Pelodiscus sinensis: one gene and its partners. The protein of the gene in region 2 purifies or fractionates together with the protein of the main gene of each other region. This does not show direct contact. Links are inferred from orthologs where the notes say so. Each region holds a gene or a part of one and is shown on either strand. Other genes may lie near its edges.

What was found.
Region 1: the proteins of FBL (region 2) and C1QBP purify together in Homo sapiens (affinity purification with mass spectrometry; 4 studies listed by BioGRID and IntAct, counting the BioPlex papers as one, with this or other methods). This does not show direct contact. The link is inferred for Pelodiscus sinensis from reciprocal best matches to the Homo sapiens genes FBL and C1QBP.
Region 3: the proteins of FBL (region 2) and NOLC1 fractionate together in Homo sapiens (co-fractionation; 3 studies listed by BioGRID, with this or other methods). This does not show direct contact. The link is inferred for Pelodiscus sinensis from reciprocal best matches to the Homo sapiens genes FBL and NOLC1.
Region 4: the proteins of FBL (region 2) and NOP58 purify together in Homo sapiens (affinity purification with mass spectrometry; 7 studies listed by BioGRID and IntAct, counting the BioPlex papers as one, with this or other methods). This does not show direct contact. The link is inferred for Pelodiscus sinensis from reciprocal best matches to the Homo sapiens genes FBL and NOP58.

What each region holds. Positions count from the first base shown.
Region 1 is NC_134731.1:25,932,190-25,939,821, forward strand, and holds the start of C1QBP (complement component 1 Q subcomponent-binding protein, mitochondrial), read left to right. Parts: upstream 1-4,631; coding exon 4,632-4,866; intron 4,867-5,921; coding exon 5,922-6,072; intron 6,073-7,632. Other genes in the region: uncharacterized protein LOC102447468, read right to left, coding at 2,449-4,087, 4,404-4,504.
Region 2 is NC_134734.1:4,829,713-4,837,138, reverse strand, and holds the start of FBL (rRNA 2'-O-methyltransferase fibrillarin), read left to right. Parts: upstream 1-4,410; 5' UTR 4,411-4,476; coding exon 4,477-4,486; intron 4,487-5,628; coding exon 5,629-5,703; intron 5,704-6,128; coding exon 6,129-6,305; intron 6,306-6,643; coding exon 6,644-6,738; intron 6,739-6,968; coding exon 6,969-7,139; intron 7,140-7,332; coding exon 7,333-7,426.
Region 3 is NC_134718.1:2,408,410-2,416,237, forward strand, and holds the start of NOLC1 (nucleolar and coiled-body phosphoprotein 1), read left to right. Parts: upstream 1-4,827; 5' UTR 4,828-4,878; coding exon 4,879-4,989; intron 4,990-6,256; coding exon 6,257-6,312; intron 6,313-7,828. UniProt on the Homo sapiens protein: Nucleolar protein that acts as a regulator of RNA polymerase I by connecting RNA polymerase I with enzymes responsible for ribosomal processing and modification.
Region 4 is NC_134717.1:56,310,792-56,318,563, reverse strand, and holds the start of NOP58 (nucleolar protein 58), read left to right. Parts: upstream 1-4,772; 5' UTR 4,773-4,930; coding exon 4,931-4,975; intron 4,976-7,365; coding exon 7,366-7,442; intron 7,443-7,772. UniProt on the Homo sapiens protein: Required for the biogenesis of box C/D snoRNAs such as U3, U8 and U14 snoRNAs. Part of the small subunit (SSU) processome, first precursor of the small eukaryotic ribosomal subunit.

The DNA of each region.
Region 1 (7,632 bases), on a different chromosome or scaffold from region 2:
CCACGCTTGGCCAACCCACTGCTCTCCCCTCCTGCGGCGCTCATCCTGGAATTGATGTCATGTCCCACGTGATCAGCTTTGTGAGCCCTGTGCAAGTGACCAGCACATGGAGACATGAGTGCCCCCACTGTCCTCGCTGACATCGTGATGGTTGCCAGCACTTCTGCTCCCATGGCCCCCACTGCCCAGGGATGCAGAAGAGCTCCAGCCTGAAGTGCTAAGGAGATCCTGAATCTCACTGAGTAGGGCGGGGGGGGGAGGAGGGGGCGTTCAACCTCCATGAACTCTGCACAATGCAGGCAAATGCCAACATCTATGGTAGGATTGTCTCCAGCTTCTTGGCCAAAGGCCACACCAAGAACCTGCAGCAGTGCAGGTTCAAAATCAAACAGCTGTGCCAGTCCTACCAGAAGGCCAGGGAGCAGAGCAGCTGTTCTGGGGCAGCACCTGCCACTGTTACAACCAGCTGGATGTCATTCTGGGAGGGGAGTCGGTTACCTCCACCGCCGTGGTCCAGTCTGGCCTAGACATGCCTGGCATCAGCCTGCAGGTGGGCAGGGTGATGGAGGAGGATGCCAGAAAGGCAACAATGCCTGAGAGCTAGGAGCTGCTCCTCGCTTTGGAGCCGGTCCGCCCCTTCCAGGATGTTTCCCAGGCTTCTGACAACCCTGGGGAGGGCACTTCTGGTGAGTTTTCTAACTTTAGCTGCAAGTGAGGGTCAGGCAAAGGGCTGCATGCTCCTCTCTGTTACTCACTCTGGCTGTGTCTACACTGGCATGAATTTCCAGAACCGCTTAAAACGGAATACTATTCCGTTTTCAGTTTTTCCGGAGAAGGAGCGTCTACATTGGCAGGCTGCTTTTCTGGAAAAGCCCCTTTTCCGGAAAAGCGTCTGTGGCCAATGTAGATGCGCTTTTCCGGAAAAGACTACTGGGCTGTCTACACTGGCCCTTTTCCGGAACAGTGTTTCAGAATAAGGACTTATGCCCGAGCGGGAGCAGAATAGTTTTTCCGGAATAGCGGCTGATTTTGTACAGTAGAGCATCGTTGCTTTTCCGGAAGTTCAAGGGCCAGTGTAGACAGCTCACAGCTTATTCCGGAAAAGTGGCTGATTTTCCGGAATTAGTGGCCCAGTGTAGACACAGCCTCCGAGGGTTGCAGAACAGCTTGTTCACATGTCTGTAGATGGCGTGTCAGGCTGGAGCACTCATTGCCACAATGCTGTCACACAGGAACCCTTTGATCCTTCTCACACGATTCCCATAGAGGCCTGCCTTATTCCAGCCTCTGTGGTAGGACACCTTCCTACACTAAGCCACCAGGAAGCAGTCTGGGGTCATGGAACCACATAGCAGTGTAGCACGCTGCCCTGATTCATGCCCGCACACAGTCAGCATTCGCTCCAAATCAAGCACAGTGATGCAGGGAAGACTGATGATATGCATAGGAACCTGCTGGAAGGAAGAAGAGGAGGGGAACCCATTAGCACTTTCTGCCACTCATACACACTTCCCCTCTCCTTCCAGCAGGCATTGATAGAAATTCTCACCGCAGGATGCCACGAGTGCCAGACCCAGCATGTGCAGGACACAGTAGGAAGCTGAGCCGCCCCCCGGCATGGTCCTGGCCTGGTGGGCACCTTACCATGCCTACTTATCTCCAGTCTCTGTGTTTGTGATGCTCCCCTGGGATGTCTGTGCACCTGCTGGAAAGTACCTGCTTTAGAAGCAAATTATGGCCTTGCTCAAAACACAGTGCTGTTGTCTGAACTGAGACCTTCAGTGTTGGCTCAGTGATTAGGGCTAGGCTTCATACAAAGCGTTTCCTGTGAAGACTGCCCTTGTAAATTCACAGCAGGACAGCGGTGAGCTGGGCATGTCCCTAACTTCCTGCTGCATCTATCCACCTGACCAGGATCTGCAGATGAATAAGAACATGGGACATGCTCATGAGGGAGCAGCTGGTCTGCCTGCAGTCCCTCATGCAGGAAGTCAAGGCAGAGTACCTGGAGCAGGTTACTGAGAGGAGCGGCAGGCTGACCAGGAGACAGAGGCCACATGGGAGCAGCTGGTACACCAGCGTAACATATTCTCTACCCTCACAGCAGTGCTGGAGCATGTAGCAGCATGCATGGATTGGGCCACCAGCCACATCCCACCTGCTCGATGGCCACCCCTGCAAGGGTCTCCAGGGATTGCTGGGACCCCAAAACACAAGGCATGGGGCCCTCTAGGCCACCTGGAGGCAAACACCAGTCCCAGCCCTGGCCCCCATTACAGGTTCTTTCTCCATTCCCTTCCCTGTTGTATGTCCACTGAATAAAGACTCCTGTTTGTTAATCAATGATCTCTTTATTGTTTGCTCTGCCAAGGAGGGCAGGAAAACAGAGAGACGGGGATCTCTCTCTCTCACACACGCACACACACACAGAATGCAGGGTGGAGAGTCTCACAACTGGTCTTGCATAAAACTGTCTTTCAAGGCGTCTCTGATGAACAATGCCCCTTGCTGTGCTCTCCTTGTGGCACTGGTGTCTGGTTGCTCAAACTCCCGAGCTAGGCGTTCTGCCTCAGCCCCCCATGCTGGAAGAAAAGTCTCCCCCTTGTTTTCACACAGGTTATGGAGCACACAACATGCCGCCACCACGAAGGGCATGTTGAGCTCGCTGATGTCCAGGCGGGTGAGGAGACTCCTGAACCTCCCCTTTAAACGCCCAAATGCACATTTCACCACCATTCTACACCTTCTCAGCCTGTTATTGAACTCCTCCTTGCTGGCATCCAGGCGGCCTGTGTAGGGCTTCATGAGCCAGGGGAGCAAAGGGTAGGCTGCATCTCCCAGGATCATAATGGGCATTTCCAACTCTCCGACCTTGATTGCCCTATGGGGGAAAAAAGTGCCAGCACGCATCTTACTGAAGAGGGATGAGCTCTGCAAGATGCGTGTGTTATGCGCCTTTCCCGACCATCCAACGTTGATGTCAGTGAAGCGTCCCTTGTGATCCACAAGTGCCTGCAGCACCATGGAACAGTACCCTTTTTGGTTGATGTAGTTTGAGGCATGGTCGTCAGAAGCCACAATGGGGATGTGTGTTCCGTCTATGACCCCCCCACAATTGGGGAAGCCCATGTCGGCAAAACCATCCAAGATGTTGTCTATGTTGCCCAGAGTTACAAACCTCTGTAGCAGGATGTGGTTGATGGCCTTGGCTACTTGTAGGAGCACAGCCCTGACTCTGGATTTCCCCACCCCGAATTGATTCCCGACTGAGCGGTAGCTGTCTGATGTAGCTAGCTTCCAGAGGGCAATGGCCACGCGTTTCTGCACGGGGATGGCAGGTCTCACTCGGGTATTCAGGTGCCTGAGGGCAGGGTCAAGCCACTCGCAGAGTTCGAGGAAGGTGGCCTTGCGCATGCGGAAGTTTTGCAGCCACTGCTGATCATCCCATCCCTGCATGACAATGTGATCCCACCAGTCCGTGCTTGACTCCCTCCGCCAGAAGCGATGTTCCATTGTGTCGAGGGGAGTCAGAGGCATGTACAGAAGCAGGAGTGCCAACACTTCGCTAACCATGGCTTCTGGGCCATGCTGGACCTCCTCCTCTTCCTGCTGGAGCAACGTGCGGGCATTGTCGAAGTACTGCTCCATGAGGCGCAGCATTGAAGCCATGAGCGTGGCACTGCCTTGCAGCTGCTCTGGCTCCATGGTTGCAGGGCTGTGGTGCCAGTGTGGGAACCCAGGGCACAACAAGACAGGTGCCCACCGTGTCCCTTTCCTGTTGCACAACAGGGGCGTAATGGAGGAGCACTTGTGGGATGCAAGAATGGAGAGGAGCCTCTGAAAGCCCAAGTCGACACCAGACGGAGCCGCTCCCCAGAGTTCCGCCTGGGGCGCCGAGGCCGAGGCCGGCTCTGAACGTGGACACGTCACCTCCGGGAAACTTCGATTGGTGCCTGATGCGGGGACACGGCTCCACAGCAGGTGCCCAGCGCGCGAGGTCAGTGAATTCGAATGGATCCCGCAGGGACCAGCGGCTCCGGCGGTGCGGGGGGGGGGCGCGTTGCAGGGCTGCAATCCCCCGGCGCGGCTGCAAGGCACGAATCGAGGCAGCGGTTAGGTCTCGAGCCGGCAGGCCCCGGGCCAACTGCCGCCCGCCCGCGGCCTCCGAACCGCCCCTCCGATCGGTTTGCGCGCGACGGTTACTGGGCGGGGCCGGGAGGGGCGCGCGACGGTTACTGGGCGGGGCCGAGAGGGGCGCGCGACGGTTACTGGGCGGGGCCGGGAGGGGCGCGCGACGGTTACTGGGCGGGGCCTGCTTCGCGCCGAGATCGGCCTGCGGGAAGAGGGTCCCCTGGCCCGGCCTTAGAGCGGGGGCGCCAGCGGCAATGGGGGGGGGGCCTTACCACGCGAGCTCGGTGGAGGCGGGGACGCGACTCCTTGTACGGCTCAAGGGCGGCCCGCGGCTGCCGCTGCCCGAGACCTGAAGAGGCAGAAGCCCCCTCATCGAACCACTTCCGGGCGACCGCGTGCACTTCCGGGCGACAGCTTCCGCTTCCGGGCCAGGGGCCGCCCCGTGTCCTCTGCTCCCGCACGTGCCCCGCGCCTCACTCGGCCTCGCTCTCCCGCCAAGGATGCTGCTGGCCCGGGCCCTCCGCGCCGCCGCCGCTGCCCTCCGCCCGCTGCCCCAGCGGCCCCCGCGCCTCCTGCCCTCCGCGCTGCTGCGGCCCGCCACCGCCCGCCCCTTCACCCGCAGCCTCTGGCTGCTCAGCGCCGACCCCGCCGGGACGCAGCGGCCCGGCCTCCTGCGGCCCCCGCGGGCCTCCCCCGCCGGCCTGTCCTGCGGCTGCGGCGGCCTCCACACCGAGGGTAATGGGGGGTGGAAGGAGGCAGGGCGGGGGCAGGGAGCCCTGGACGCAGAGCGGGTTTCCGAGGCGCGGGGCTGGGGCCGGCGGGTCACCCGCGAGGGGCCCAGACGTGCGCGCTGCGCCTGAGCCGCGCTCGGCGTCTGGCTCCTCGGCCTGGACTCGCGGCGGCTTCCCTGGCCGTGACCGGCTCCGCTCAGCGCTTGGTGATTCCCCCCCGGGGGCGGGATGCTGCGCTCGGGCAGCTGCGGGGAGAGCCTGCTGTGTCTCCATCGTCTCCTGGCTCCTGCCATGGGAGAGGTCTGGCTAGCACAGCAGGGGGAGTTGGGGCTGAGGCAGTTTCTGCTCCTAATTTTGCCATTGACAAAATGGGCGGCCTTGGGCAAGTTTCTCAACCTTTCTATTATGTGCATCGCTGCACTCCTCCACCCCTCTTAACGAGGGATGTGAAAGGTTAACTGGTCACCTGATGAACCAGTAAAAGCATCACCTTAAATGCAAATCCTGAAGCCTGAGATCTGGGCTTCTGAAGAAGACTGCAGAGCAGCGTGGATCTGCATAACTTGAGAGGGGTTGATGCCATCCAACTTCTTGTGCTCACTTCATTCATAAGTTAGGTGCTGTTTCCCTCCTATATTGTACCTGTAACAGTACTTGCATATATTGAAAGAAGAGCTTTTTAATAATGTCTTTTAGTAATCACTCCTTACCTAAGCCTTCATCCAGAACTTCAGAACCTTTGGCAAATCAAGGGCTCTTACATGTCCTCTCTCTGTAATCAACATAATTCTTTGCCCTCAACAGTATAGTGCTTTTCAGCTGAACATGAACAAACACTTTATGAACAAGTAGGCCTTCTAATATCAGTATAAAGTCTGTGGTCTTACCTCACCATTTTATACCCAGATAAGCTGAGGTACACACAAGCTATTTGGTCAAGTACGTAGCTCAACTAGAAATAGAATCTTGAGGCTTAACTTTACTTTCTCATCTAACCACTAGGGAACAATGTTTCTAACTCAGGTGTATTAATGTCTTTGTCTTTTTTATTCCTTGAAGGGGACAAAGCATTTGCACAGTTTCTGACAGATGAAATTAAAGAGGAGAAGAAGATCCAGAAACATAAATCCCTGCCCAAGATGTCTGGAGGGTGGGAGCTAGAAGTGCATGGCACCGAGGCTAAACTGGTGCGGAAAATAGCTGGTGAGAGGTAAGTGTGAGATGGGTTTTTTGCTTAATTGATATTTGATCTTTTCAGTGAACATAAAGGACTTGGTAAAAATTGCAGCCAGCATGTTTTGTCCAGGATTGAGGTTAATGAAAAGCTATTAACTTAGTGCTGTTTCTCATTGTCAGCTCTGCTGTCATTCAGGGCCAGTACAGATAACAGAAGCTTTGTAGTCAATTTATTTTTCTATACTGTAGCACTGTGGTCACCAACAGGTCGATCGCAATCTACTGGTCGCTCGCGAGGCCTCAACCAGTCGCTCGCGAGGCGTCCTGTCTGCCCTGCCCCCATTTCCCTCCCACCCCCGAGAAGCCCCACTACTTACCTCAAGTGAAAATGGAGGTAGTGTCGGCTTCCCGGGAATGGACAGAAGTCCTGCAGCTTAGCGCCACTTCCGGCGATTCCAGAAGTGCACTAGCTGCTCTGCCGGGTGTTCTGTGGGAGGGAGCATTGGCTCCCTGCACTGCACAGGAGAGGTGAGTCAGCCCCACGGGAAGCGCGCAGGGGGTTGGCCCCCGGGCAGGTGTGCGCGCGGGGCTTCCCTGGGCGGGGGGGTTGGCGCCGGGGCAAGCGCGCACAGGGTTTCCCTGCGCCGGGGGGTTGTCCCCCTGGGCAAGGTGTGCCCGCGCGGGGCTTCCCTGCGCGGGGGGGGGGGGGGGAGCGGTCGGCGCCGGGGCAGGCACGCGTGGGGCTTCCCTGCGCGGGGGCGGGGGAATCGGCACCGGGGCAGGCGTGCACGCGGGGCTTTCCTGGGCGGGGGGGGGGGAGGGGGGGTTGGCGCCGGGGCAGGCACACACTGGTTTCCCTGGGGGTGGGGGGTAGAATCCTGGGAGGAGGGAGATGCAGGGGACTCTCTGTCTCCACTCCCCAGCCACAGAACGCTGTCCCCACTCACCTGGCCCCAGCCACAGAACGCTGTCCCCACTCCCCGAACTCTGTCCCCACTGGCACCCTGTCCCCAGCTGCAGAAACCTGTCTTCTGCCCTCCCAGCACCTTGTTCCCTTTCCCCTGCCCCCAGCCACAGAACTCTGTCCCCACAAAAATGTATAATTATAAATGCTTCATTTTAGATTTAAATAGCATGAATAAAAAACAGACCATTTATTTCATAACTATAAACATGTGATTTTAATTGTATGTATCGCATAATTTAAAAATAAACTGTTTATCAGAGTGTGTAAGTAAGGGCTGGGGATAGCAAGTGATGGACAGGAGGAGAATAGAGAGGGCGGGCTTTCAAGGAAGGGGCGGGGTGGTAGATCTTTGCCTGTTCTGAGATTTTAAAAAGTGATCTTGGGTGTAAAAAGGTTGGAGACCACTGCTGTAGCACAATGGGGTATACTTTGCCATTGTATCTTGCCTTTGTCTTCTAAGGATTCATGGCCATTTTACCTTGGGGGGAAACAGGAAACATGAATTTAACCTAGTAAACTAAGAATACATTCGTTCATAAATACAAGGAATTTATGTGTTTTAAACTTAGTACAGTTTATCTTTGAGAGTAGCACACCATGCAAAGTGCTTGGAAATTCAGTGAAGTG
Region 2 (7,426 bases):
AAATGTTTACTTTAAACATGTTATGAAACATTCCAGAAATTGGTTTGATGGGATAATTTTACATTAGAGGCATGCTTTTCTCCTTTGGAAAATTTTGGAATTTTTGTTATACAGGAATTTTTTATCTTTTTAAATAATTATTTTCTGTGGGAAATGTTGGAATGTTTGATAGGAAATTTTGTTTTTTTACTTTTGTGTGAAATTTCAGAATTTTTTTTAGCAGGGCTACTCAACATGTGGCCTGTGACCTGTTTATTTGTGGCCCCTGGTGCAGTTTGGGTTTACATGGGGCTCAACATCCGGCCTGTGGGTGGGATCCTTGGAACATGGCCTCCACTGGGAACACGCTTCACAACATGATACAGTTCTGTGGTGATCTGGAAGCCTACTTTCGCTGTCTCCATCTCAAGGAATACTTCCAACACAACACTGAACAGTGCACTGACACACAGATACCTTCCCACCAACAGCACAAGAAGAAGAACTCCATATGGACACCTCCTGTGGGTCGAAATGACAGTCTGGACCACTACATATGTAAGGGGACTGTTAGCCCCTTATACTCTGTGGGAGTTTTTTAGTTTGCCAGCTCCCAGTGTCAACAGGGGAAGGGTCCATGAGACTGACAGACCCCAGAGACAATGGAAAGCAGCCAACACTCCAGCTTAGCCTGATTGACAAGTTGGACAGGCCAGTGAGAAAAGCAAGAGGCCAGGCCCCGTCCTCCCTGTGAGCTGGGATTGTTCTGGCTCTCTCTGAGCAAACAGAGAGCTGAGAGACTGCCCAAGGGGGGCAAGCTGTGTGCAGAAGAAGTCCTGCAAAAACAGGGAGCTGAGAGACAGCCCAAGCAAAGCAAGCTGTGTGCTGAGGGGCAGTTTTTGCAGCAGCTGAGCCAGACACACACAGCTCAAGGAGCGCAGACCCTGTGTTGAGCAGCAGACTGGCAGTGCTCAGAGAGCCAAAAGGAACAGAGAAGCAACGCAAGAAGCTAGAGACTGGCCACGCAGCACAGCCTGCAGCTGGATGTGGTGAGCAGCTGGGAACTGCAAAGTATGGGGAGAGGCTCTGGACTGGGAGAGGGGTCTGGCCACTTAGAGCTTGAGGCTGTGTGGTCACTGCCAGAGCAAGCGTGTCCAGCCTGCAGCCCCCTGCAGCACATCCAAGGCCTCTAAGGGGCCTCTAAGGAAGAGACTGTGGACTGACCTTACACTCTGCAGGCTGCTGTTTTGATGTCCCTGTGCTACAGAGCAGGGCTGTGTGTTCTCATTTAACCATTCTCATTTTTTCTTATTATTTTCTCTTTAATCAGTTGATGTTTAATAAATTGTATTTGCTTTGAACCTTATGAAGTGATCGCTGGGCCAAGAAGGCCTGCAGTGTAAAGAGAGCACCTCGGAGTGGGGACACCCTAACTCCTGCCCCTAGTGACTACAAGGTCGGGGATTAAGCCCCAGGAAACCTGGGCCCAGCCTTGTTGGGGTTTCGAGGGCTCTGCTACTCAGGAGAGTGGAGGGGGAGCCCTCAGGATCAGGGAAGCCGTGGGGTAAAGGAAGTGGGAGTGGGGACTCAGATCCTTTCGCTGGTCCATTTCACCGGGGTGTATAGAAGCCAGGAAAGTTCCCCACAATAGCGGGACCATTCCCCCACTTACACATAGAATGCTTCTGCCAACGTGCACAGGCAGAAATTGTGGAAAACCAGCATCGCTTGCCCCGTAACCTCAGTCGTGCAGAACGCAATGCCATCAACAGCCCCCAGAACAACTCTGACATTATAATCAAAGAGGCTGATAAAGGAGGTGCTGTTGTCATCATGAACAGGCCTGACTTACAAAAGGAGGCTGCCAGACAACTCTCCAATACCAAATTCTACAGACCACTTTCCTCAGATCCCACTAAGGAATACACTAAGAAACTGCACCATCTGCTCAGGACACTCCCTAAACAAACACAGGAACAAATCGACACACCCTTAGAGCCCCGACCAGGGTTGTTCTATCTATTACCCAAGATCCACAAACCTGGAAATCCTGGACCCCCCTCATCTCGGGCATTGGCACTCTCACTGAAGGACTGTCTGGATATGTGGACTATCTACTCAGATCCTATGCCACCAGCACTCCCAGCTATCTCTGTAACACCACTGATTTCCTGAGAAATCTACAATGCATTGGTGATCTTCCAGAAAACACCATCCTAGCCACCATGGATGTAGAGGCTCTCTATACAAACATCTCACATATAGATGGAATACAAGCTGTCAGGAACAGTATCCCTGATGATGCCACAGCACAACTGGTGGCTGAGCTCTGCGACTTTATCCTCACACAGAACTATTTCAGATTTGGTGACAATATATACCTCCAGACCAGTGGCACTGCTATGGGCACCCGCATGGCCCCACAATATGCCAACATTTTTATGGCTGACCTGGAACAACGCTTCCTCAGCTCTCATCCACTTACGCCCCTTCTCTACCTACGCTACATCAATGACATCTTCATCATCTGGACCCCATCATTAGTGACCTACAACCCATCCTGGACAATGATCCCTCACTTTCACAGGCCATGGGAGGCAGGCCAGTCCTTGCCCACAGACAACCCGCCAACCTGAAGCATATTCTCACCAGCAACTATACACCGCACCATAATAACTCTAACTCAGGAACCAATCCATAAAACAAACCTCGGTGCCAACTCTGCCCACATATATATACCAGCAACACCATCACAGGACCTAACCAGATCAGCCATACTGTCACTGGTTCATTCTCCTACTCATCTACTAACATAATATATGCCATCATGTGCCAACAATGCCCCTCTGCTATATATATCAGCCAAACTGGACAATCCCTACGTAAAAGAATAAATGGACAAAAATCAGATATTAGGAATGGCAACATACAAAAACCTGTAGGGGAACACTTCAATCTCCCTGAACACACAATTGCAGAACTAAAGGTAGCCATCCTGCAGCAAAAAAACTTCAAGACCAGACTTCAAAGAGAAACTGCTGAGCTACAGTTCATCTTCAAGTTTGACACAATCAACTCTGAATTAAACAAAGACTGTGAATGGCTTGCTAACTACAAAAGCAGCTTCTCCTCTCTTGCTATTTACACCTCCAAATCAGCTACTGAAAGTGGGCCTCATCCTCCCTGATTGAATCCACCTCGTCATCTCTAGTCTGATTCTGGCCTGCATATTTATACCTGCCTCTGGAAATTTCCACTACATGCATCTGATGAAGTGGGTCTTTGCCCACGAAAGCTTATGCTCCAACACTTCGGTTAGTCTATAAGGTGCCACAGGACTCCTCACCACTTATGCTTCACAGCGGTGAGCATTTCTCAGACGGGGTGAGCATTGAAAGACGCAGGCAGACGGGCTGGCTGGAACAGACCGGTACAGGGTGTCGGCATTTCTAGCCCCCAGGGAAGAGGTGCCAGGAGTGCTGGGGCATTGTGGGAAGTGCTGGCTGCTTAGCCTTGTGGACAGAGCCTGACAGGTGCTGACTGGCTCACACTGGCCCATGGTGGCTTGAGGTTTTATCTTTGTATTCATGCAGGTCAGTGTGAAAGAAGCTATTTGCATATATTTGCATATAAATGTGCATGTATATGCAACCACACTTAAGTCACGGCCCTTGGCATGTGCTGTGAGTATCATTGTGGACCCTGGGGCTTCCTAAATTGAGTAGCCCTGGTTTTAGGATAAATTTTTGTTTACTTTTTAAAATGTTTTGCAATCAAATATTTGAAACCTGTGTTTTGCAGAAAATAAATCAACAGGACATGTCAGAATTTTTTCATGGAAAATATTTAATTTTTTTGAGAGTAAGGGAATTATTTCCAGCACAAAATTTCAACATTTTTGTTTTATAGGAAATAATTTTATTTTTATGCAAAATTTCAGAATGGTTATTTCACAAAATTTTACTTTCTGCCAGTCCCGCCCCCCTGCCTCTCTATTTCTGGCAGGCAGAGGTTTAGGGAAGCCCAAAGCATGGGCGTCACATCCCTGGCTCTCTTGGCTAATAGCCAAAGAAGTCATCCATGCCTTTTTTGGGTCACAGTGGCAAGGAGTTCCACAGGTTAACAGGCTAGTATGCTGCAGGGCTCCCCCATCCCAGCAGCTGCACCCAGCCCTCATCAGCCATGTGTTGATGTGGACTCACTTGGCCTCAACAGTCCTGGTGCGGGAGGGGACCTAACACCGGGGCCAGGGATGGGCCGGGGGAGTACTACACGCATGCGCAGCGCTCTCTTTTTGCAGCGGCTCCGTTGTTGTGCGCATGTGCTGGCAGCGGAGACTACATTTCCCGTGGTGCCTCCTTCTGGCGGAGATGGGGAAAGCGGGGTTATTGTGGGCATGCGCAGCGGCGGCTCTTGGCGGAGCAGAGTTGCGCGTGCGCAGTGGCCAGGGTGCTGGTGTCTGCGCAGTGAGGCGGCTCGCGGCGTTGGGCGAGTAGCATGAGGCCGGGTGAGCGCGGCTGGCCCACGTGTGCGGGGAGGGGCAGTCAGTGGGGGCCGTGTCCCGGGGGACGGGTCAGTTGGGGGGGCATGACCCCGGGGGGGGGGGACAAGGTCAGTGCGGGGCCGTGACCCCGGGGGGGGGTCCGGGGCTGGGGGTGCTTAGTGGGGAGCAGTCACGTGGCCCGGGCTGCGGGGGGTCGCGTGGCCCAGGGGGGTGTCCAGGTGCGGGAAGGGGGGGGGGTCTCTGTGCCCCTGCGGGGGGCTCGTGTCTGCACAGGAGCCTGGGGGGGTAGTGGGATGGGGGCGCGTGTTTGGGTTTTACTGTTAGATGGGGGCTGGTGGGTGGAGGTTTTGGGGCGCACCCGAGAAGGTGCAGACAGTGGGGATAGAGGGACGTGGAAAGGCAGGTGGGAGGCGGGCTAGCAGCGTGCTGGGGTGGGGACAAGGGAGGTGAAGGTTTAACCAGTTAAGGTTAACCAGGGGGGGCTGCGCAGGCCAGGCTGGAGCAGTCCCTGCCTCCCGGGCAGGGGATGGTGGGGGCTGCTCTAGCTCGGGATGTTAAGAAGCGGGTATTTAACCAGTTGAGTAGTCGATAAAAATTCTATCGACTACTCGATTAGTCAATAGGCAGCTGGCTCAGTCCCGGTTTGTACAGGGTTGGGACCAAATCCCGCTGTGTCTCTGCAGTTTAAAGGCGGTAGGAGCTTGGGGGCAGGTTGCCTAATTCCTACTGCATTTTCAATTGCAAAGACACAGTGAGGTGAACTGGGGCTGAGCTGGGCTGCCTGCCCAGCCGGCAGAAGCCCCTGCCCCTACCTCCGCGGAGACCGTGCTGGGGAGAATCGGCTTTTAAGCCAGCGGAATGTGAATAGTTAACTCCCTGGTTGACTAATAGACTGATCCCTTACTTCTCTAGGTCCAGCCCTGTGGCAGGCCCTCCCACTGCCCCCGTTTAATTGGTTTACCTATGTTTAACCAGTTAATCAATTCAAGGGGATGGGGTGACCAGGAAGGATATGGGGTGGGGCTGTATCCATGGTGGGAGAGCAATGGTGGGGAGTGGTGTTCGGGTTCAGGCCGCTCTCTCTCTCTATGGTGTGGGTGGAGGGTCATGGTGGGGTGTGGTCTCTAACTCTCTCCTGGTTGCAGGTTTCAGTCCCCGTGGAGGGCGCGGTGGGTTTGGGGACCGTGGAAGAGGCCGAGGGGGCTTCCGAGGAGGCCGAGGTAAGTGCTCTCTGTGCCCCAGTGGCATCGCTGTGTTGGGGAGGGGAGGGCTTTGTGGTTACGACTGAGCACCTGTGTGCTGCACCTCCCCCTCTCCCCTCGGTCCCAGGCAACACCCACTGTTGGAGACCTTCCTGTCCAGTGAATACTGGGAGAATTTTGCTCCCACCGCACCTCAGTTCAGTGGCCATTGACTTTGGGCTGTGTTGCTGTGTGGACAGCACATCCTGTCCCAGCTCCATCAGTGTGCCATGGTCCAACCCCTGCCTGGGTTATTTCCCCTCGTGATCTCAGGGACACTGGATCCCCGCCTTCATATCTTGTCCCAAAGTGAACAGCTGCTCTGCCCCTCTGCTTTCCATGCAGGGCGGGGACAATGGCACAGGGCCAATGTGCTTCTACTCCATCTCTTCTCTCCCTTGTAGGTGGTGGGTTTAAATCTCCGGGTGGGAGTGATGGAGGCTTCCGAGGAAGAGGAGGTGGCGGTGGTTTCCGTGGACGAGGCGGGCCAGGCCGAGGAGGCCGCGGTGGAGGAGGCCGGGGCGGCCGAGGAGGGTTTAAAGGAGGCAAGAAGGTGACGGTGGAGCCCCACAGGCATGAAGGTAACCAGCATGGGACAAAATAGTGCTGTCTCCTGGGAGCAGTGAGGTGTTGTGGCCAAGGTGGTCTGCCTGGACTGGACAGCGCTGGGATTCACTGCTAGATGTTGGATTGATCAGGGCACAGCTGGGGTGGATTGCTATCCAGTGTTGGAGGCACTGTGTATGGGAGGTTACATGGCTGATCCATGGCTTGGCAGCCCTGCTGTGATCCCTTTATGATTTGCAAGGGCAATTGACTCCTTCCCATAGCAGGGAATGTTCCCCCTGCTCTCCTTAGACTTGGGAAGAGGGTTGTCCCTGTTCTGACAGCTTCCCATCCGTTTCCTCCTTCCACCCAGGCGTCTTCATCTGCAGGGGGAAGGAGGATGCGCTGGTGACGAAGAATCTGGTGCCCGGCGAGTCTGTGTATGGAGAGAAGAGGATCTCTGTGGAGGTAGGCGGCCTTGTGGTAATGGGGGAAATTCTGGGCAGCACTGGCTGCCCCAGGACTCAGGGGTGGGATGGTGCCAGCCTGTTAAGGCAGCTCCCATGTTTCTAGAGGGACACTACCCCAGCAGGAAGGGTATTAGGGTTGGGGCGACTGCCACAGTGGAGCATGCTCGCAGCCAGTTAACAGCCCCGGGGGAGCTGAGCTGAGCTTTGACCCTGCTGCTCTCTCTGCAGGACGGTGAGCTGAAGATAGAGTACCGTGCCTGGAACCCTTTCCGCTCCAAGCTGGCAGCAGCCATCCTAGGTGGCATTGATCAAATCCACATCAAGCCGGGAGCCAAGGTCCTGTACCTGGGAGCTGCTTCTGGAACCACAGTCTCACATGTCTCCGACATCGTGGGGCCGGTAAGGAGCTGCTGTTGGGCCTGGGTCTGAAGAGGATGGGGGTGGGGGCAGGGACGAAGTGTCTAGTGAGTATGACTCAGCTGTGCTGAGAGAAGGCAGTGCCTGATTGCATTGTGGGGGGAGGGGAGAATGGGAAGAAAAGCTGCTCTGCCCTTGGGGGAGATGGCTGACCATGGTTTTTTACCCCACCCAGGAAGGCCTGGTCTATGCTGTGGAGTTCTCCCATCGCTCCGGCCGTGACCTCATCAATGTGGCGAAGAAACGCACCAACATCATCCCCGTCATCG
Region 3 (7,828 bases), on a different chromosome or scaffold from region 2:
TATAGTCCATCTGTGTTTATTCTCACACCCTAGTCCTCGCACGGAGGTTGTCAAACAATACGCAGGCAAAGCTGTGAGGTCTGAGGCCCTTTTCTGCAGCCATTCTAGGGGAGCAGCAGGCATGAGCCCAAAGGAGCAGAAAACCACATCCTCGCACTCCTTCTAAATTATATTAAAACAAGGTAACATCCGGCTGCTCCCCTCAACAGCACATGTAGATAAGCAAGGAATCTCTTTAGATGTAGAAAGAACAATTTGTTTGATGGCATTCAGTCTGGCAAGGCATCACTTACCAACAATGGTGGGGGCAAAAACTCTAGTATTTTGCTTTTATGGTCTCTACTTCTCTATTGGTGAGTGTCTGGTCCTTTTAGGGTGTCTGACCATTGCATAATTAATTTTGCAAGATTTAAATCAGTGAAGGTGGGTGAGGTGGGACTGGTTTCATAATGGGCTAGGATGGGTGCAAAATACCTTATATACAGCCTTCTGCTGCTCCAGTAGATTGTAGGAGGCCTTTGTGACCCTTCCCAGCCACCGTCACCCCCACCGGGTGCAGAAAAGCAGAGCCCTGCTCTCGATTTCGACACAATGGGACCAGCTTCCATAGTAGCTGGGGCAGGAATCACCCTAGGGACCTGCTATTCCGGCAGAGGTGGGTGCACCCTGCTTTCAGAGAGGAGGCACCTTACACTACATGTTCCTACTCTTCCCTCTGGGAGCAGGGTGGCTCGGAGGCCACCACGGAGCATTACTGCTCCTTTCCCGCCAGGGTGCGTCAGAGCAGGATTTCTGAGTTCAAGAGCAAATTCAGCCGGCCAATGCCATCGTCCGAACCTCTTGCATTCACCAGCAGTTCCCTTTCGCACTCCCTTCGCCCCATTCTGAAGTGACTCCCTGCCTCCAGCTAGCCCAGAGGCGCACGTCACCGGTTCCATCAGCAGAGCCCGATTCACCAGGTTCCACTGACAGGCATCTTCAGAGAGGAACCCCCGCACGAAAGGGTGTCTAGCGGTTTGGTTTTATGGAAAGGGATGAGATCTGGAGACGGACGCTGGCTCTGTCCAAGGTCCTGAGTCAAGAACTGACCAGTCCCGTCCTCCTCAGTCCCAGGCACGCAGTAACAGCCCCCATCTCCCTACCCCAAGCAGCCTTCTCCGTTGCAGATTGTCAGGGGAGTCCTGTTCGAGCACTTCCTGCCTTGCTAGCGAGCCAATCAGAGCCTTTGTACTCAGCTAGAGTGTCGGATCCAGTTCTGGGCCCCACATTTCAAGAAAGATGTGAAGAAATTGGAGAAGGGCCAGAGACGAGCAACAAAAATGATGAAAGGCCTAGAAAACATGAGCTATGAGGCAAGGCTGAAGGAATTGGGCTTGTTTTGTTAGGAAAAGAGAAGACTGAGAGGGGACATGAGAGCCATTTTCAGGGATCTAAAAGGGTGTCACAAGGAGAAGGGGGGGGAATTGTTCTCCTTGGCCTCTGAGGACAGAACAAGCAACAATGGGCTTAAACTGCAGCAAGGGAGGTTTAGGTTGGACATTAGGGAAAACTTCCTGCCTGTCCGGGGGATTAAACACGGGAATAAATCACTGATGGGGGTTGTGGAATCTCCAACATTGCAGATATTTCAGAGCAGGTTGGATAGACACCTGTCAGGGATGGTCTAGGCAGTGCTGGGCCCTGCTGTGGGGGCAGAGGACTGGACTTGATGACTTCACTAGATCCCTTTCAGTTCTAGTGTTCTAGGATTCATACCCAACAGCGTTCCTCTCCACAGGGGAAACTGCGAGGAATCTGTGACATCACAAAAGAGTGTCTGATGGAGGAGAGAGGGAAGAATCGGTGTTAGTTACGGATCAAAGTATTGGCCTGTCTCATAACATCCCTAAAATCTGACATCTAGATTTGAGCCTTCACCAAAACTGCAGGCTTTGGTTCACACTCAAGCCACTAAGAAGCTGGTCCCACTCTGTCACAGGGACTTTGTATACCTACCTGGGTGCTCTGAGCTCTGCCAATGTCTGTCACCTCCAGCAGCAGCAGCACAGAAGCAAGAGTAGCAATACCACAACCTCTCTCCTCCCCCCACACACAATGGCCTTGCGACTGCCCCCAAACACCTTTGTGGGTCAGGACCCCAACAGTGACAACCTGCAATGTCAGACTGAAGTAGCCGGACTCATGAACTGTACCATTTTTAAAAAGCCCAGGGTTATGAAATTGACCAACATGGACCATGACTTTGGTAGGGCCCTGGCTTATGAAGGACGTGACCAAGCGTCACTCTGCAGTGTACAGGCCCTGTCTGAGTGCTGATTTTAACAGGTGCATGTTAGACACCCGCGCATGACTTACCACAGCAGCAGAGCAAGCTGGAGCTAATGTCAAGCAGCTGTCATAAGAGGGCAGGAGGCAAAACATACGGATCTTTGCTGGGACTAAGGAATACCCCTAGAAAGCTTACAGATGTCACCCCATGCGGCTCTGAGTCTTTCCCAGCTCCTGCTCAGCCTGGCTAGTTCTAAGACCAGGGAAAGTGGATTTTACCCCCGCTCTCAATTTTCAGAACAGACCCAAACCACAACTGGGCTGCTGAGGTCAAAGTGGCTGCAGGTGCCACATCTCCTGGGGACAAGAGAAAAGCAGGGAACCCCCTGGACCTGGTGTGGCACCACCAGAAAGTCCTTCCCTTAGCAACCTTAGCAGGCCCACTCCAGCTCAGTGCAGAGAAACAGATGCAAGGAGACTGGGACAATGGGACTAGTTCAGAGGGTTGGCATAAAATGCTCCATCGCTTGGCTTGGTTCCGAGATCTGTGTCTCCCAAGGCGGAGCTGGGAGCAGGACAGGCCCTGCTTTGAGAGCCTGGCTCCCCCTGCAGCTGACAGAACCAGAGCAAGAAGCAAAGCCAGGCCGCGGCTGAGCAGAGCCCGTGAGGCACGAGAGAAGAAAACACTCGCCGAGCCGGGGACAAGAGTGAGAGAAGGGCAGTGACTAGGCGTTTGTGGGGTGAGTGTTGTGTGTATCACACCCGCCTTGCGCTTCATTCACGGTTAGTCACTGCTGGGAAGCTGCTCTCCAGGGGAAGTACAGAGCAGCAGCGAGGGCCCCGTCTGCCCTGCCTGGCCGGGCTTCGGCACTACACAGCCATAGCATGAGCGGGGCTGCACTCAGAGGCGAGGGACTTTGGCTGCTTGAGAGGACAGCAGCGTGGTGGCCTCTCCGTGGCCAGGCCCAAGGGCTGGTCTTCCTCCTCCTTGCAGTTCCGGCTGGGGCGCTTTGCCCACGCACGCCAGCGGGAGCCATCTCGCTGAGGCTGGCCCCTAGATGGGAGGTGGCAGCCATTTGGGCAAAGGGCAACACTTCCCCAGGAGGCAGAAATAAAATGCTCCCGTCTCGAGCCCGGACAGCCCCCAGTACCGCAACCCGGCCACGTTCCCTTCGTCCTGAGTGACGAGCACCTGGGGCTGCCCCATCAGCAGCCTGCCTGGATGGGGCTGGTTCAGGGAGCAGCTGCCCAGCCCTTCCTGAGGAGCCGGCCTCTTTGAGGTCTCAAGAGGGGCGCCCAAAATCTGCCATCACTGCTCGAAATCTTGGCCTGGACCTCTCTGACTCAGTTCTCCCCTTGGTAAGAGCGGGTGCAATGCCTCCTTCCCCGGGAGAGTCCCAGGCTTGGTTACAGTTTACATAAGAGCCCCACTTTGTCGGCGCATAAACTCATAAGAACAGGAGAACGGCCGGACTGGGTCAGACCAAAGGTCCATCCAACCCAGTAGCCTGTCTGCCGACAGTGGCCAGCACCAGGTACCCCAGAGAGGGTGGACCGAAGACAATGATCAAGCGATTTGTCTCCTGCCATCCCTCTCCAGCCTCTGACAAACAGAGGCCAGGGACACCATTTTATCCCCTGGCTAATAGCCTTTTATGGACCTAACCTCCATGAAATTATCTAGCTTCTCTTTAAACTCTATTATCAGGGCTGGCTCGAGCCCTTTTGGCGCCCTGGGCCCGGGCGTGCAGTGCTGCCCCCAGGCACAGGGCGCATGCGCAGGCCCACCCATGGGGCACGGGCCTGCCCATGGGGCACATGGCATACACGCGCGCTAGCCATGGCCACTGGCGCAAAGCCTGAGGCCCGCTGCCGGGGCACGCGGAGCATGCGCTACCCAGCCCAGCCCGGCCAGCGCTGCTGGCACACATGCCGGGCCGTGCAGGGCCCCACAGCCGTCGGGGGAAGGGCACTGCTGGCCGGCACTGAGGGGCAGGTGCTGCAGGAGCCGGGCGCACGTCTCCTGATGGCATCTGTCAGGGACACCATGCGCCCCTTACAGCTGCCATTAGGTGCCCCTCGTCGGTTGGGGCTCTGGGCAGCTGCCCAGCTCGCCCATGCCTCCACCCAGCCCTGTCTGTTCTAGTTCTAGCCTTCCCAGCCTCCTCCGGCGAGGAGTTCCACAGGTTGACTATGTGCTGTGTGAAGAACTTTCTTTTATTAGTTTTAAACCTGCTCCCCATTAACTTCATTTGGTGTCCTCTAGTTCTTCTAGCCGCACTCGGCTCCCCCAGCTCAGTGCTGCCCAGGCCCGGATCAGCCCCCAGGGCAGGGCCCACTGGCCCCAGCTGCTGGCCTCCCACGTGCTCAGGTGGCACCTGCCCCGGAGGCTGGCGAAGGACCTGGCCCCGCCCCTCCCTACCCGCTGCACTGCAGCCGCCGGCCGCCAGGTGGCGCGCGAGCGCTCTACGGCTGTGCGGGCGGCGGGCCCTCCCTTTAACAACATGGCGGCTAGGCCCGCCCCCTTCCGGGGCCACGTGTGACGTGTGACCCCGTGACCTCACGACGCAGCGCGTCCCCCGGCACGTGCGGGGCGGCCGGCGTGGAAGCATGGCGGAGGCGCGCGCGGTGCCCAGCGACCTCTTCCCGCTCGTCCTCGCCTTCCTGCGCGACAACCACTTCGAGGGCGCGGCGCGCGCCTTCGGCCGGGCGGCCGGCGTGGTGAGGGGCGGGGCCGGGGGGGGGGTCCTGGGGGCGGGGCTGGGGGGGTGTCCTGGGGGAAGGGGGGGCTGGGCCGGGGGGGGGTCCTGGGAGAGGGGAGGGGCTGGGAAGGGGGGGCTGTGCCGGGGGGGTTCTGGGGGAAGGGGGGGGCTGTGCCGGGGGGGGGTCCTGGGGGAAGGGGGGGGCTGTGCCGGGGGGGGGTCCTGGGGGAAGGGGGGGGCTGTGCCGGGGGGGGGGTCATGGGGGAAGGGGGGGGGTCATGGGGGAAGGGGGGGCTGTGCCGGGGAGGGTCCTGGGGGAAGGGGGGGCTGTGCCGGGGGGGGGTCCTGGGGGAAGGGGGGGGCTGTGCCGGGGGGGGTCCTGGGAGAGGGGGAGCTGTGCCGGGGGGTTCTGGGGGAAGGGGGGGGCTGTGCCGGGGGGGGTCCTGGGGGAAGGGGGGGGGTCCTGGGGGAAGGGGGGGGCTGTGCCGGGGGGGGTCATGGGGAAGGGGGGGCTGGGCCGGGGGGGTCCTGGGGGAAGGGGGGGGGCTGTCCCCGGGGGGGGGGGCTCCTGGGAGAACAGTGTTTGCCTACCTCTCCGGGCAGCTGCATGTCACCTTAGCACCGGGGAGAGACAGTCTCTGCATAAGGCGTGAGACCTCATTGAAAATGGTGGCAGATGATCGCAAAATTGGGAGGGCCTCCCTCCCCTCTCTTCCCTCCCCCCAACTTTCTCCAGATCTGCCCACTTTTTCTGTCTTTTCGTAATTAGATACTGATAGTGATAATTCTTCTAGAATACTTACTGTCTAATCAAGATGTTAAGTAAATCTTTCCCCCCTCCCATTAGGCTCCATTATTGCAAGGCATTGGCATATACCTAACTGGACACACTGAGTTGTCCCCTTAACATGAATGAAACTACTCAGTGTGCATAGTTAAGAATAAGGCAATGTCTCCTAGCACACGTGTGGCTGAAGTGTCTGCAGAATCTTGGTTGTAGATGTTAACAAATCTATGGGTCCTGGAATTTTGAGTCCTAAATAACTCAGGTTGTTTCTTTTTTCAGATTACTCAGAGGCTTTTAACTCTAGCTTCTGATGCTATTGAAGGTTTTTATGAGCAACACACTCCATTTGCTAAGTCTCCCACCTCTCCACCTGGTATACATCAGGAAGGTGTGAATTCAGAAGTGGTTGCCAATGGGTCAGGGTTTTCCATTCCATCCAAAGTCGAGAAGTCCATGTGGTTTGTCAGTGCTAATAGTCCTGTGTGTTTCTGGTTTACAGACAGACCAGGACCCTAATGCTGCTTCTCTCTTGGATGTCTTCAACTACTGGCTCAAGTAAGTGTCTCTCCTCCTACAATATTTGTTGAGAAGGACTAAGCCAGTCCATCTCTGGGACATTTCTATGGTCGCTTTGTTTTTCAGATTGGTGTATTAAATGGCAAAGGTTTTCCAGCAAAACTAAACTTCCATCATACAGTATTATGGGGAATAATTTGGCTACAACTACGCGAGAGAGCTCTTGGAGTCATTGTGGATAGTTCTCTGAAAATATCCACTCAGTGTGCAGCGACAGTCAAAAAAGCAAACAATGTTAGGAATCATTAAAAAAGGATAGAGAATAAGACCAAGAATATCTTATTGCCTTTATTTAAAACCAGGGTACGCCCACATCTTGATTACTGCGTACAGATGTGATCACCTCATCTCAAAAAAGATATATTGGCATTGGAAAAGGTTCAGAAAAGGGTAACAAAAGGGGTCCCCTATGAAGAGAGATTAAAAAGATTTGGACTTTCCATCTTAGAAAAGAGGAGATCAAGGGGGGATATGATAGAGGTTTATAAAATCATGACTGGTGTAGAAAAAGTGAATAAGGAAAAGTTATTTACTTATTCCCACAGTATAAGAACTAATGGTCACCAAATGAAATTAATAGGTAGTAGGTTTAAAACAAAAGTTTTTCTTCACCCAGCACACAGTCAACTCCTTGCCAGCGGATGTGGTAAAGGCTAGAACTTTAACAGGGTTCAGAAAAGAGCTAGATAGATTCATGGAGGTTAGGTCCATCCAGTGCTTTTTTTTGGTTAAAAAGGGGGGGGGTGCTGGTACTCCAGGGGAGAAGTTGTTGAGTTCTGACTGGAGGAGCTGGTACTGTGTTCCAGGCAGTACCTGTCCATAATAAGGAAGGACTGTTTTTTAGAAAATATTTGCAAAGCACTTCTAATCGGCCTTCTCGTCACAAAGTTCCAGGCTGCCATTTCAGGAGCAGCAGCCTACGGCCCTTTAACCCCTTTTAACCTTATTTTAAGTGAAAGGCTAATATGTGAGTTTTTTGATATTCCATACTTATGGTATGACTTCGCTGGACAGTTTTCCCCAGCTGGACAAGCAACTCTGGGCTTAAAGAACCTCCAAACCCGGGTTTTTCTGTGTAGGTAGAAGTGCTCACACCCAGGTGAGAATCCATGCTAACTGGGCAATGAAGACACATCCTTAATTTTCGTAAAAGAATGTGCATTCAAGTTGGCTTCTTGGCAACAAAGCAGCTGTTGAAAGGGTAGCTGGTCTTCTCAGGATAAGAGGCTAGAGAGTAGGGAAAAGGAGCTAGTTAGTCCAGGAAACCTTAAAGGGATTAGAGAAACAGTAAAAATAAGCTATTCTAAACAGAGGGGAAAACCTTATCCGGGGTTACTGTGTAGTAGATATGCACTTTACACAATCCTCGCAAAACTAGTTGTTTTTGAGAGATTGTAAAATGACCCACGCTCCCAGCTAATCTAATTGTGGCCGTTAAGAAGCTACAGGTAGTTAGACCCTTGTCTTCAGCTTTAGCTAGGACTTACCTGAGACA
Region 4 (7,772 bases), on a different chromosome or scaffold from region 2:
ACTAAGCTATAAAGGAAAACTGGTAAAGTGAGGAGCCAGTGCCAAAGTCTTTTCACATGCAACTTTCCATTGAAATTTATGATAGTAGTATAAGGGTCCTATCATCAATCTAACTGCAGGCCTTGCCCACCCACTGGTCCAGTTCCCTAGGGAATTAATTTTGGGGTCAAGATGGACACATGACCAGAAGCAAAGAGTGTCATGTAAACCCTCTAATAACTCTTCCCAGCACCCTCTACCAATCAGGATGGGTTTTGGCTTCACAGGACCACTCCGAGTGTAGGTTTGACCAAACCAGAGTCCTTCTGGGGCCTGGTGATCTGTCTTGGAAGTGGGTCATAATGAGCCTCTAAAAACTCCTCCCACTGGTTTCTACCAACTGTGATGAGTTTTGGCCACAGGGACCATCCTGAGAGTGGATTTGACTGAACAGGGTAGGTTTTGGGGTTGGGTGTCCCACCCTGAAAAGGGTCATGTGACCTCTCTAAGAGCTTCCCCAACCACCCCTTACCAATCAGAGCACAGCACCACTCCCAGAAACCCCAGCACCACATGGAAGAGGCCATCTTATCCCAAGAATGAGTGTTTCAGAAATCTTGGAAATCCTTTGAGGAAACAGGGACTCCTTCACCACCCCCTTGTGAACTTTGGACAGTTTTAGCCCTGAGCATTACATCAGTGACTGTTCCAAGGAGGAACTGTTCTGAGGAGAACCCTTTGGCTCAGCTGTTGCTGGATATGTTGGGACCAACCCCGATACCCAAGTGCTCATGGGACAGCCCAATGAGCATGATGGCTTCTCATCCAACCCTATGGAAGAAGGTGTCCCCAATGAACAAAGTCACACAGATAAATGACTGATGAAGAAATGATGGTTGATGATGGAGTATAATAGGGTTAGGAACCAAATCATGACTGTTTAAATCTAGCGTGGGAGCTCATGCTGCTTCCTTTCTGAAAATCTCTTGACAGCTCGATGATGCCTTTCTAAAGTCCTTTGAGAACCTACACATTGGTAGCTCTGTGGGAGTAAATCTGTCATGCATCAGCTGTTTTTGTTTGTGTCTGAGACACACATCTTGAGAGGAAAATCCAGAAAAGAACAAAATGGACGAATAAACTAGCTCAGGTTCTCTAATGGTTATCGTGTTCATTTTCACAGGCTGCTATAAAAGGATGTGTTAAACCAGGCAATTAATAACATTTGTTTAAATTTATCTGTCTGAATGCATCCCCTCCATACGTGTAATATCTTTTGCTAACACACTAACAGTCATGTCTATGTAGACGATTCTGTTAAAGAAAATTTCTTACACTCCCCAGAGAAGTTAGGAGCTTCAGCGAGGTAAACCCTCTGTTTCAAGCAGCCAAAAAGCATAATTATTTGAATAGAAGACAGGTAACAGCTTGGCTTTCAGATCAGGACTCTTACGCATTACACAAACCAGCTCAAATACATTTTAAAAGAAATAAAATCTTTTTTTTTCAGATGTGGATGTGCAATGGCAGCAGATTTGATGGACATGTACTGGTTCTCCAAACACAACAGCAGTTTTAAGTACATCTTAACAGCGATAAACATTCTATCCAAATATGCCTGGGCCTGTAGACATAAAAGACAAGATGGGTGGTGAGGTATCCAAGGCCTTTAACCTATTTTCAGAGAAGGTCTGAAAATTACAAATTGATTGGAGAAAAGAAATTTTAAACAAACTTTTAAGCACATTGTTAAAATGGTATGGCATTCACTATTTTGTTAGTAATAAACAGAGATTTAGCATTAAATAAAAATTTCACAAAACTTAATTCTACCATATTTCTCACCCATACCTATGCATCTATTTAACATATAAAAATCTAATAAAACAACAAACCAATAAACAAAATATATTTACTGGACTTTGTCCAACCATCAATTGTTGCTGCTAGTGAATTTTTCTTTTGAGCTTGTTTATTCTCTGGTCTATAGATCTCTCAAGTTTTGATTGTACTGTGGAGCAGACAACGTTATTATAAAACAATGAAATAGTCTCATAAGCTTAAAAATAAAATGCTCATTAGGATGTTTTTTCATTTAAAAAGTCATAGCTTTAAACAAAACAATCAATTTCAGGCTGTAAAAAATATACCAGTTTTGCTTTATTTTTAACACTCGTGTTTCTCCAAAACTCAATATTATATATTTTCAGAGTTAAATACAAGCCACATATCTCACATCACAGTCCAGCAGCAATTCAATTCAGGATCATTTCTACTGAAAGAGGATTGTCTCCAAAAACCTGAGTTTTTTATACCATCCTCTTTGTTTCAAACAAACTTTAAAATCTGTATTTAACAGGTTAGCTAAATCATCACAACTCTGAATTAATAGATAATTTAAGGAATTTAGGCATCCTTCTCCAAACCTCCCTCTTCTGTGATTGGGGTTGGGAGTGGAGAAATTAAGTTGTCTGCACAACTGGGCTGCTTTAGGCTATTTTATTTTATTAGTTACAATACTTTTTTTCTGTTTAAATTAAAAAACAAAGCACTGAGGGCCTTCTAACAATATTAAACAATAATTCACCATACACAATCATCCTTAATGTTACAGTAACCTCTCTAGAGTGGGGGAGCCTTTGAAGATATCAATGTATATCTTGAGGGGTGGTAGGTTTTTTCATGCTTAAAGTTTTGGGTTGTTTTGAAAAAAAATGGAAGTATCATAAGCATGTTTTCATAAAGGTCAGTATGATGTCTCTTGTTTGTTGCACCATAAAAGAACCAGATTTGTTAGGAATATTTATCAGGTTCTTTCTGATGCTGGAACAAGCCAGGGTTATCTCTGGGACTAATCCTTTTGTGAGTATTCTGATCAAATGCTTATGAATGTTTGTTACTGTTTGCGTCTAGTAACTGCTTATTCTTTAGGTTTTTAGACATGTTTATAGAACTCCATTGGACAGTTTCTATATAATCCCAGGAGTTGGTAGAACTCTATTAGGCAGTTTAAATAAACCCATAGGAGTTGGTTGAATACCATGGGTCACTGTAGTAATACAAACTCATTAAAAGTTTAAAAAATAATTACAAAAAATAAACAAAGGTATAGCCCAAAACTGAAATATTTCAAGGATTCACAATTCTCCACAATACTTTACATTTTCTGTAAAAACATTTAAAAGCCAGATGTGCTTTTGCGCAAGAGAGCATCCACACTGCATAGGTACTCTTGCACAAGAAAGCTTTGATGGCCATTCACAGAATGGCCAGCAGAACACCTGTGCTTTTTCCAATAGGGGTTTCTTGCATCAAAACACCTCTAGAGCACCCACACTTGCCTGTTTGTGCAAGAGCCGTAGTGCAAAAAGGAGTTATTCCTCATGGGGAGAGGAATAACTACCAGCAAAAGCCCTCTGTTCTGTCAATTTTCTTGCACAAAAACGTGCTTGAGGTGTGGATGCTCTGCCAGTTTTTGCGCAAAAACCTTATAGTGTAGACATAGCCTGAGTGGATGTTTTCAGAGCTATCCACAATGACTCCAAGATCTTTCTCTTGAGCAGTTGTAGCCAAATTAGTCCCCATCATACTGTATATACAGTTGGGATTATTTTTTCCAATGTACATTACTTTACATTTATCCACATTAAATTTCATTCGCCATTTTGTTGCCCAATCACTTAGTTTTGTGAGATCTTTTTGAAGCTCTTTACGATCTGCTTTGGTCTTAACTATCTTGAGAAGTTTGGTATAATCTGCATATTTTGCCACCTCACTGTTTATCCCTTTCTCTAGATCATTTATAAATAAGTTGAATAGGATGGGTCCTAGGACAGACCCTTGGGGGACCCCACTAGTTACCTCTCTCCACTCGGAAAACTTACCATTTATTCCTACGCCTTGTTTCCTGTCTTTTAACCAGTTATCAATCCAAGAAAGGACCTTCCCTCTTATCCCATGACTATTTACTTTACTTAAGAGCCTTTGGTGAGAGACCTTGTCGAAGGCTTTCTAGAAATCTATGTAGACTGTATCCACTGGATCCTCCTTGTCCACGTTTGTTGACCCCCCTCAAAGAACTGTAGTAGAGTAGTATGGCATAGTTTCCCTTTACAGAAACCATGTTGGCTTTCCCCCAACAAATTATGTTCATCTACGTGTCTGACAATTTTATTCTTTACGATAGTTAGAAACGGTCTGCCCCTAATTTGCAATGCAATCGGTTCTGGAGCTCGCGTCGCAAGTCGGGGCCGTCGTAACTCGAGTCTGCATTTCTGACAGACATCGTTCCACTGTAAATGCGGGGACAGGGATGTAAGTCGGGGGGGGGGGTTCGGCCCCTTCAGCACTTATGGAAAAGGCCGTAAGTGCGGGGGCTCGGAACTCAGGCCGTCACAAAGCGGGGGCCTCTTCTAGTTGAACCCATCTCAACCCCTTTAGAATGAACACGCTCTCCGCAGCCCCGGTGCTTTCTGGAGCTTGAACCAGGTGGGTCCCTCTCTTCTGGACTGTCTCGAACGCGCCCAAGCCCAGCGGCGGGCGGGAAGTAACACGGGGGGGATCGCTCCCTGCTCGCCACCCTCAGACAGGACCCGCCGTCCCTGCGCCGCCAGCCACAATGGGCGGGGTCAGGAGCTGTAGCCCCGCCTCGCAGCGGTTGAGCCCGCCCCCTTCCTCCCAGCTTGGTCCGGGCCATCCTTTGAGCTAATCCCACTCTTCTCCCTCCCCCCCGCTCCGGCTCTTTCTGTCTCGTCATCCTCTGAGTTCCGCCCCCTGGGCTGCCGAGGCCAGCTTCCTGTCTCCTCACTTCCGGTTGGCTGCCGTGCGCGCGCTGCTTGCTTGCGGCGGGGCGGTCGAGGCCTGGATCCCTCACGTGGCGTCGCCTGGCGCGCGCGCGGGCCGTTGGCGCTGCGGCCGCTCTCGCTGACCCGGGCCCCCTCCCTCACCCGCCATGCTGGTGCTTTTCGAGACCGCGGCGGGCTACGCCGTCTTCAAGGTGAGGCAGGCGGCAGGGGCGCGGGGCGGCCCGTAGCCTTCTGCAGCAGGAGCGCCGGGTGCTGCCCCGGGCCTCGACCACGTGCCTGAGGCGAGAGCCCCGGGTCTGTCGCAGCTGGGCCTGGCGCCGGTACCGAGTAGAGGCGCGAGGTCCGTGGGAGGCGGTGGCTGGGCTGGGGCGCAGGTTAACGCAGGAAAGGGAGGCTCTGCCCTCGCTGCCTGCTCGGCCCCCCCGGGGGTCTCCCTCGCCGGGCTACTTGCAAGGCAGGTTTTTCTGCGTTTGATCCGACAAGGTCAGCCCCTGCTGCCTAGGGCAGTGGCCGGGTAGAAAACCGGACCTGGGCAGTCGTGCAGCGTGTAGCACAGGGATACATCGCTTCCTCGCGGATCCTGCATAGATCGGCTTCTCTCCGAGCCTGAGCTTTGATTCATTCCGCAGGATAAAGTGTAATTGTAAATGTCAGTGACCACGTGTCTGCAGCTGCAGCTTTTCCCTGTGATCTCTTGTGGTACCAACAACTCACTTCCTGTTTGCATCCGGGAAGAGCAAGCTGGTCTTGCATTTGTTAATTTTAGCCACCAGTTTTGGAATGAAACAGATCCGTTAAGAATTATCCCCTTGTGATAACTATTAGCAGAAATTGTGGCGTTTATACAACTAACTAATGTTCTATTATTGCCTTCCAAATATGTTCACATTGCATCTGTTTCTTCTGGGACTTTTAGCGTTTATTGCAAGTAATATTATTCCTTTAGTCCCTAAATGAAAGCATTGAGGCTAACTTAATAGTAATGGTATTTTAAATACTTCATTTACAAGATGTGTTCAATTTACATTTGTCTGCTAATGTTTATGTAAAATGCTTAGCTTGACTGGTGTACATTGAAAAGCAAAGATTCCATTCCAGAAACTTTAACTGGACACACAATCTTATAGGGATGTAAGTGACTAGTCAACTATCTGATAAGCAAAAGCTTATCAGAGGACACACGGAGGACTGGTCACTTCCCCCCTCTCCCTTACTGCCTCTATCAGAAAGAGGCAGCAAGGCGGGGGGAGAGCAAGGGATCCTGGAGGGACTGGCTTTCTTGTTCTTCCAGCTCTGGGAGGGAGAAGGAGCCCAGTGGCGGTGTTCCAACTTCGAAATGTACAAGAGTTTCCACTGCGGTGGAGGTTCCCCACTCCCGGTTTACCATATATGATAAAAATTTAATGGGGGAGAAGAGCAGATTTCACAGTCCATGACATGTTCTTCATAGTCATGAATTTGGTAGGGCCCTACTTTTTTTTATATAAGCATAGATGGGTTCAGGAATTCTCAAACTTCATTGCACTGCAAACCTTTTCTGACAGACTATATGTAAGGGCTGAGGATGGGAGGAGGTGGCGGATGTAGTGTAGACCAAGTCTTAGTGCACTGCTTATTAAGAGCTCACAGAAATATGGTAGACTAGTGAAACTGTGGATTAATCTTTTGGGAGGCAGAGGTGGATTTCTTTTGTTGATAGCAATCTGAAATATTAGTCTGTTAGCCAAGGGTGGTGTCTTTAAAATTTACTCTGAAGGCTGTGTAGGTCTGAATGCATTGTACTGCAAAGAGAGTAAGTCCTGAGCAGCAGGTGGGAGCTGGTCTGTGCAGGGAGTTGATTTTTTAAACCAGCTTATGTTGCTGCCTCTGGTACAAAGGCTAGTCACCATGTAACTCAGGGTTTCCCAACATATGGGTCGGGACCCAAATATGGGTCGCCATTACATTTCAAAAGGGTTGCCAGGTGTCTTCCCCAGGTGGCTCTGCCTTCCCTCCTCCCTGTTTTTGAATTGCCTTAGGTCACCAAGTATTCCTGAATTGTCAAAATGGGTCCCCATCTGGAAAAGATTGGGAAACACTAATGTAACTGAAAACATTTTTTTTGTAGTTAACATTTATTTTAGCAATCATGTATCTACCATCTCTAGATCCAGTGTTCCCTCTAACTTTTTTCTGTCCACCTGCAGAATAAATATTATGTGCCCCTAGGCATATGCAGATGTGCATCAACAGTAGAAACATGCTGCTGGCTGTGAGTGCTCTGCTAATCAGCTGGGCTGCATTTGACTCTCTCCTGGGTGGCTGCCATGTGCTCAGCTTACAGGGAACATTGATCTGGCCCCTCCACACTCACTGACAGTGGTGCAGGAAGCAGAGCTGCGTGGCCCTGGCTCACTCTGCTCCCCAACAGTGAATGTGGAAGCAATCCCAGAGCACCAGTTCCTCTGCTCCCCTCCTGCTAGTGTCTCTAAGCTCCGAAGGTCAGCTACTTAACATGTGTCCATTCCTCCCCCCTTCTCCCCCCCCCTCCACACACCTGCTCCAAACGTCTTTAAACATTGGTTTCATTTTTTATCCACAGGTTCTGGATGAAAAGAAACTCCAGGAAGTTGATACTTTGTGGAGAGAATTTGAAACTCCTGAAAAAGCAAATAAAATGTAAGTCTTTCCATGAAGAGCTAACAGCCTGGGTATGAAAGATAACTGTGTTTAATTGTGTACATAGGAGATGAAGGACTAAGGCTTTGTGTTTCAGTATAGTTCACAGCTTTTACATGTTAAAAGAATGATCTGACCCAAGATCTCTGGGTGCTAGAGATCAGAGTGAAACCTAATATGGATGTGTGTAGCTGTGGCAGAGTATCTGTTCATGGCAGGGTTCTTACACCTTCCTCTGAAGTGTGACACTTGATACTGTGGGCCAGAGTACTAGCCTAAATGGACTTTGGTCTAATCCAGTTATGCTATTCCTGTGTTCTTAAAAAGATG